Linked DNA regions of Callithrix jacchus. The protein of the gene in region 2 purifies or fractionates together with the protein of the main gene of each other region. This does not show direct contact. Links are inferred from orthologs where the notes say so. Each region holds a gene or a part of one and is shown on either strand. Other genes may lie near its edges.

Region 1 (3,952 bases), on a different chromosome or scaffold from region 2:
AGAGGCTGGGATTACAGGCGCACACCACCACACCTGGCTAATTTTTTGTATTTTTAGTAGAGATGGGGTTTCACTATGCTGGCTAGACTAGTCTCGAACTCCTGACCTTCTGATCCACCTGCCTCGGCCTCCCCACACCCGGCCAAGAATTCTAATTTTTAAAAAAATCCACACATACAACAAAATGTGTTGTCAAGCACATTTAATTCACCGGCAACCACAAGACATTAATTGTGCCCCTAGGTTAGGTAGAAGGCCATAGAAATGAACTTGCCATCGCTGTCCAGTTTGGCTTGATAGTGCAAGGCCAGTGGCTTTAACAGATGCTACCGTTTGCCACTATTCTTTGTCAAGACTTTGTCAGTACTGACTCTTGAAATAAATTGGCCACTGAAGCTGTTATAAGACTGCAAATGGCCGTTGCAACTACCGTTTCAAATTTCTAAAGATGTAATAGAAACGAGAACCCACTGCCATCAGGGGAAAGAGGACCTGGGCAGATGGAAGGAAAAAATGAGAATGGAAGACATTTTTTCTCCCTTGGAAAGGCTTTCACCATGTAACTACCGCACATTTTAGTACATGGGTAACACTGGACAGTATTCCAAAAGTAAGTAAAAACTTTCATTGTTCAGCTTTATAATAAACCATGATTACTTGTGAATTTATTATGATAATAAAGCACTTCTGTGAGGTTTTTAAAAATTTTTTGAAGTTAGGCATTGCTTTAGAAAACAATTAAAAACCACTTTTCTAAGAAAACGCAGTTTGTGGCAGCCCCAATTCCGCAGGTATTGGCTGGTGAGAGATGTGCTGCAGCGAGACCTCCCAGCAGCAGGTGGCACTGCGCGCCCTGCTCGCACCTCCCCTCAACACCCTTTCTCTCAGCAATGGCGGGTGATGGTGGGGCCCTCTCTTTGCATGGGTGGCCATTCTAATGCCTAACCTCAGGTGCAGACCAGTGTTGCCACCGTGCGAGAGTCCTGACCTCTAGGAGGGTTAAAGAAAACAATGATGTTCTCCGTGTACCCTTCCGCGAGGACTCAGGAGGAGACCGCGGTGCAGAAGACGCAAGCCAGGAGAGAATTCGCGCCGGGCGGCAGGCGGGGCGGCGGGCAGCCCCGGGGCGAGCGGGGTCCTGGCGAGAAGCGAGCCGGCGGCCTGAGGAGGCGACTGACTGAGCAGCGCACCCGGGGAGCGAGGAGGCGCGGCGGAGTGAGTGGGCCCTGAGCTGACAGATACAAGGCGCGGCTGGAACTGCAAGCGAGCCGACCGGCGAGTGAGGGGCACAGCCATGATCACCTCGGCCGGTGAGTGCGGCCCCGAGCAAGCGCCGGGAGGGAGGAGCCGCCGCTGCGCCGGCTTTTAGCTGAGTCAGGGCCGGTGACTGGGCGCCTCCCGGCGAGGCGCCGGCCTGTGCAGCTCCTCACTGGCCGAGGCCCGTCCTCGGGCCAGGGGCTGGGAGTCTGGTCAGGCCACTGCGTGCTCCTGTGGCTTGAGGGAATGAGCCGAGTCGACCGCCTCGGCATCCCTCCCCAACCACACCCCCGTGCCAGGACCCGAGGGGTTCCTGGGCCTTCCCCTGACCCCAAAAGGGTTTCCGTTTTTTCTCTGCCTCCCATTCCTGGCCATGTGAGGTTGTCCAACCCCAGCCCTTCCCCGGAGGGGGTCGGAGTGGGATGGTCCCCTGTGCCACTGAACAGCAAGACAACCCCCGGGCCAGGCAGCCTAACTGCTGCATAGGTGCTTCTGGACGTGGCCGAGCTCCCTTCTCCGTAGAATGAAACCTGAAGTTAGGTTTGAGGTGGGTCGTTTCTGGGTCTGATCCAAGGATATTCATTCAAAGCACCCGGAGAACTCTTGTTTTCGATGAAGACCCTGAAGACGCCTTGGAGATACCTTTATACCGCGAGCCTCCTTACCCTTTCGAGGTTCTGTGCTCGGTTATGGATTTTCCATTCAAGGAAGAACGGATGGGTCTGCGGAGCAGATTGCAGACACGCAAACCATTGCATAGGTGGATTCTCGCAGTGACATTTGCAGTGGAGGAGGTCACAGAGATCGAGTTTCGGTTGGAGAAGCAAGCTCTCTCCTACATGTAGCTGTCAGAGCTCTTTTCCTTTGCCTGTTTACCTGCCTTTTCTTATTTTCTTACTCTGCTTAACCCGCAAAAAAGCTTTTTGTTGTAAACAAACTGGTGAGCAGAAGACAGTGTCTGTGTGTTAAGGTGATCAAAACTTTGTTTTTCTGGGGATGGGTTAAGGCAATTAGTGGTGATACTGGGAGACAGAGTAGTTATTTTCAGGCATTTGAATGGGTGTCGTTTGTACCTGGAATAAGACTTTTTGTCCCCAAGGGATACAGGTGATCCCGAGATGAATATTAGTTCAGTATTGGGAAGTTTTTCCAGTCAGAGCTTTGTAAAGATCAAATAAACTCTCAGTTTCTTGCCACCTCTAGGCCTCATTCTATTTCACATCCATCCGTTACCACTGTTTCTTCTAACGTGGCCCAAACCTTCATTCATCTCTTGTTTGGGTTACTGTATCCGCCGTAAGGCTTTGTTTTTCGACAACTACCTCCATACAGTCCGTTTCTCTTGTGGAATGTGCTTTTAAAAACTTTAGTCATATAATACTTTGCTTAAAATCCACCAGTGCTTCCATGGCCTTTAGAGCAGCGTGTCCAACCCTTTGAGTTCGAGGACTTCTTATCTGTGGTGGCGTATATGAAAATTATACACAAATCTTTTTCTTTTTTCTTAGCTCATTAGCTATCATTAGTGTTAGTGTGTTTTATGTGTGGCCCAAGACAATTCTTCCATTGTGGCCCAGGGAAGCCAAAAGGTTGGACACCCCTGGCATAGAGTAAAATCCAGACTCTTAAACAAGGACCCCCATGATCTGATTCCTGCCTTGTCTTGTAGTACTGTCTTCTTCCCTCAATACGGCCTAATCACACTGGCCTTTTTGCTCCTTCATTATGTCAGTTTCTGTCCTATCTCGGGGCCCTGGCACATTCTGTTCTTTTCTAGTCTTTTCTTCCTCAGGTTTTCCCTTAGCTTCTCAATCTTTAGTCTCAACTCAAATGTTATTCTTCCCTGATCACTCTATTAAAATGCGCTGACTCTCTCTCCATCACAGCTCTGTAATTGCCTTGTTTGTTTACTTGCCTGATTACTCTCTTTCTCTCCCTGGTAGAATATTGAACAGCAAGTTTGTTTTCACAATTCTTAGAACACTGCTGAGAACATGGCAGAAATTCAAAAGTATGTCTTGACAGAAGAGCTCAGCCAGCCAGTCATGGCAGTTAATCAGTCCTTTGAGTTTTTAATGTAGAAATTGAAAAAGCATTTGGTGACAATACAATAGACTAAGCCTCTTTAGGACGGCAAAACTAGTAATTTTTGAGGTTGTATCCTGAGATTCTGTGATGATCGTATAGTGTATATTTATGACTGTGATTCACGTTTATTGGATTACTTGTCAACTTCTGCTCCAAGTCTTTTGTCACCTTGTTTTCTGTTCTATGGCTCATGTTTATTTAGAATTTGTCCCAGGTGCTAAACAGGCCAGTGTCTTGGTTCTGGTGTGGATTAGGCAGTTTGTTCATTCATTTATTGACCAGGCAATTGCTAGGCACTAGCATACAGTGGTGAATAAGTGGTCAACATGTTCTATTCAAGAGGTTTGACTATGCAAGGGAGTAGAGAGATAGAGGTCGGTGCCTACTGTAGGGAGACGTGAAACTGAGTGAGGGTTTTGTTTTGTTTTGTTTTAAACAAAATACAGACACATAAAGGAAAGTTGTGCTAAGAAACTTTAAAACAATAGCCCCCCCACCTCATGTTCCCTATCCTGATCCCCAGGGGCAACTGTTCCCAACTTTTAAGCTATGTCTTCTGGAACATACCTCCATGTTTATAAATAACATCCAAATATTTCTGTCAATT
Region 2 (3,511 bases):
CTAAAAACATTTGTTTCTTTTCTTTTTTTTTGAGACAGTGTCTGGCTCTGTCGCCAAGGCTGGAGTGCAACAGTGCTATTTTGGCTCACTGCATCCTCAGCCTCCTGGGCTCAAGTGATTCTTGTGCCTCAGCCTCCTGAGTAGCTGAGACTACAGGCACATGCCACCATGCCCGGCTAATTTTTGTATTTTTTGTAGAGTTGGGGTTTCGCCATGTTGCCCAGGTTGGTCTCAAACTCCTGAGCTCAAGCTATCTGCCCACCTTGGCCTCTCAAAGTGCTGGGATTACAGCCTTGAGCCACCCACACCCAGCCTTCTGGAAACATTTCTAATGATTTTACCTGTTTTCTTTTTGTTTTGCTATTATATGAGTTGAACAATAGCCTGTTTATGTCAGTTACCCTTAAAAACAAAAAATATCATAAAGATTTTGGTTTCTCCTTTTCAGAACCTATCTACAAGACCTCTTGTGCTTTGACTATTCATGCTATTGGACGATACAGCCCTGATGTATTAAAGAATCATGCAAAAGAAGTCCTGCCTCTGGCATTTTTAGGCATGCATGAAATTGCTGATGAGGAGAAATCTGAAAAAGAAGAATGTAACTTATGGACTGAAGTATGGCAGGAAAATGTACCTGGTTAGTAGTGGTGCCTGAGTTAAACCTGCTTCTTAGGATTCACAGCTATATCACAATAAATGTCAATGTATTTACTTGCATTCCTTATTCAAAAATTCCTCTAAAGTTACTTTCCCAGGACCTTAACAACATGCATTCCATTTAGTTTTAAATTCATCCAAATTGCTGAGTTCTAAAGGTTGGCACTCAGGATTTTTGTCTTTACTCATTCATCACTGCCCATATGAGAGAATATATAACTCTGTGAGCAAGGAGAGCTTTACATTTTTAATTTAGAGTGAATTTATGTGGCCTTAGAGTATTATTTTTCAGTCATTTTCTAAATGTGTATTTCACCTTGTCACATATTAATGGATGATGCCCATTTGTGTGATAACCTCTTGTGGGCACTGAATTTCAAAGTTCTACCATTGTGAGAATAAGTCATACCACCAACATACTTTTTCTTCCTTTGAGAGAGTGGTGTGTTTTAACAGTTGAGAATCATTGCTTTTAGACTACTAGTCACTGACATTTTTTCAGACTTAGAAAAATCAGTTAATTTTTCTTGTCACTTAAAAGTTGTTTTAATTTTCCTTTTTATAACCCAGGTTCTTTTGGTGGCATTCGATTATACCTGCAGGAGTTGATTACTATTACCCAGAAGGCTTTACAGTCTCAATCCTGGAAAATGAAAGCCCAGGGTGCAGTTGCCATGGCATCAATTGCAAAACAAACTAGCTCTCTAGTACCTCCATATCTGGGAATGATACTTACGGCATTGCTGCAAGGCCTGGCTGGAAGAACATGGGCAGGAAAGGTAAAGGAAACATTCATGCCCAGTTAAAGGAATTCTGACTTCATCTTTCATTTTCCATAATAAGAATCTGATTATGTATAACTTCTGATGGATTATTTTTGTGAACCAGATTTCCTAGGCAGTGGGAAGCTTTGGATGAACCTTGCCTTATTTACTGTGGTATTTCCTCTCAAACTGTAACCTAAGTGGCCTTGCATAATGGACAGTAATGCTGGAGATAGAGACATTTTTCATATTCAGCCTTCCAAGTTATATCTTAAACCAACTTGTCCTCATTTTGTGCCTGTTGACCTCATGAACAGATCAGGATTGGGCATATGTGAAATAGAGTAGCACGGTGGGCTGCTTCTAAACCTGGGGCTGAAGATGCCCATCTCTGGGACCTATGAATTAGTAACAGTTATTTTTTTACACAAGGGCTATATTAGGATTCTTACAGTGAACACTCAGTGGGGAACATGAGATTGTGGCAGCATAATGATCTTTATGTTGCAAAGGTCAATAGTGGCTCATGCAGCACTGAAGTAGTACTGGATGGGGAGTTAGACATCATTCTCATTCTCTGGTTGACACTGTTGTCTGTGAGATCTTGGTCAAATCAGCTCTTTAGGCTTCTATGAAATGGAGATGAAGATAATTATCCTGAGTCCATGGTTTGGAGTAAAACTTGGTGAATGTGCTTAAAATTATGCATTAAAGATATGGTGACTTGTTAATTTTTGTTGTCATAAGAATTCCTAAGGTAACTGTAATCATAGCGTAGAGAGTATAAATGACATTTGGGCTTAATCATATTCATCTTTCCACCCCATAGGAAGAGCTATTGAAAGCCATTGCCTGTGTGGTGACAGCTTGCAGGTAAATGTCCTTTCAATGAAGATGCCATTTCTTAAACTGAACCTGAAAGCTGCAGCCTTTATTAACTTCTGATGCTTTTGTGGATCCTGTAGTGCAGAGCTGGAAAAGTCTGTGCCCAGTCAACCTAGCACAAATGAAATTCTTCAAGCTGTTCTGAAGGAATGTAGCAAAGAGAATCTCAAATACAAGATTGTAGCAATCAGCTGTGCAGCTGATGTCTTGAAGGCCACCAAAGAAGACAGATTCCAGGAGTTTTCTGACATTGTCATACCTCTCATCAAGAAGGTAATACTGCCTGTATCCTTAGTGCTGGTTTATACTTTAAAAAGAAAAACTTAAAAGATTGTTTTCCCCTATGATCTAATTATTAGGATTAGTTTAGCTGCAAGTAACAGAGAAATCCCAAAATATGGCCTTCAACAAGACTGATGTTTGTTTCTCACATAGCATTGGGAGCGTCACAAAGCATTCAGGTATACTGACTCTTTACAGCTCCCAGCTCTGCCATTTCTAGGGTGTGGTCATCAGCCTCATGGTCCACAGTCTGTTTGTGTTCCAGGCAGGAATGCAGAGGAGGTGAAGCAAGGATGAAGGATCACAGTGAACATGCCAGTTCTCTCTTGAGAGTTCCTGGGCACTGCTAGACAGCACTTTCACTTATATCCATCCCGTTGGTCAGTACTTAGCCACACCTGGCAGCAGACTGAGTCTTCATTCTGGGTGTCCATTTGCCTTCCATGGGAGAAGGGGAGGGTGGATTTGGTAGTGAATGAACAGTTTCTGTCATAATCAACTTTTCCTTGCAAGCATGTACAGAAGCCACTCCAGCCATCCTAAAGACAAGTGTGCCATGTGAATTGCCTCTGCCACATAGTGGAGGATTTGGGTCAAAAAAAGACTCAGGTTTCTTGTGGAAAATGGAATACTCATTTTTTAAATTTGGGCACTGGTCTGCATGAAAAAGGAGTGTAGTTTACCTTTTTCACATTTATTTGTGAAACATGAAATATTTTAAGTAACATTCTTATCTCTTATCTCTTATTACTGAAAGAAAACAGCTGCTGATTTGCAGTTGTTTTCTTTCAGTAATAAGGCTATTTAAATAATTTCCATTACAAACATAGTAATAGGATATGGTTTTGGGAGACTTGTGTTTTAAGTTGATTACATCACCAGCGAGCTGGATAAGTTGTTTCTCTTAGCCTCTGTTTCCC

The links. The genes of interacting proteins can lie anywhere in the genome.
Region 1: the proteins of ECPAS (region 2) and PSMD1 purify together in Homo sapiens (affinity purification with western blotting; 3 studies listed by BioGRID, with this or other methods). This does not show direct contact. The link is inferred for Callithrix jacchus from reciprocal best matches to the Homo sapiens genes ECPAS and PSMD1.

What each region holds. Positions count from the first base shown.
Region 1 is NC_133507.1:152,511,324-152,515,275, forward strand, and holds the start of PSMD1 (26S proteasome non-ATPase regulatory subunit 1), read left to right. Parts: upstream 1-1,143; 5' UTR 1,144-1,294; coding exon 1,295-1,310; intron 1,311-1,360; exon of another isoform or gene 1,361-2,227; intron 2,228-3,952.
Region 2 is NC_133502.1:159,722,660-159,726,170, reverse strand, and holds part of ECPAS (proteasome adapter and scaffold protein ECM29), read left to right. Parts: intron 1-448; coding exon 449-640; intron 641-1,230; coding exon 1,231-1,439; intron 1,440-2,253; coding exon 2,254-2,297; intron 2,298-2,389; coding exon 2,390-2,582; exon of another isoform or gene 2,583-2,971; intron 2,972-3,511. UniProt on the Homo sapiens protein: Adapter/scaffolding protein that binds to the 26S proteasome, motor proteins and other compartment specific proteins. May couple the proteasome to different compartments including endosome, endoplasmic reticulum and centrosome.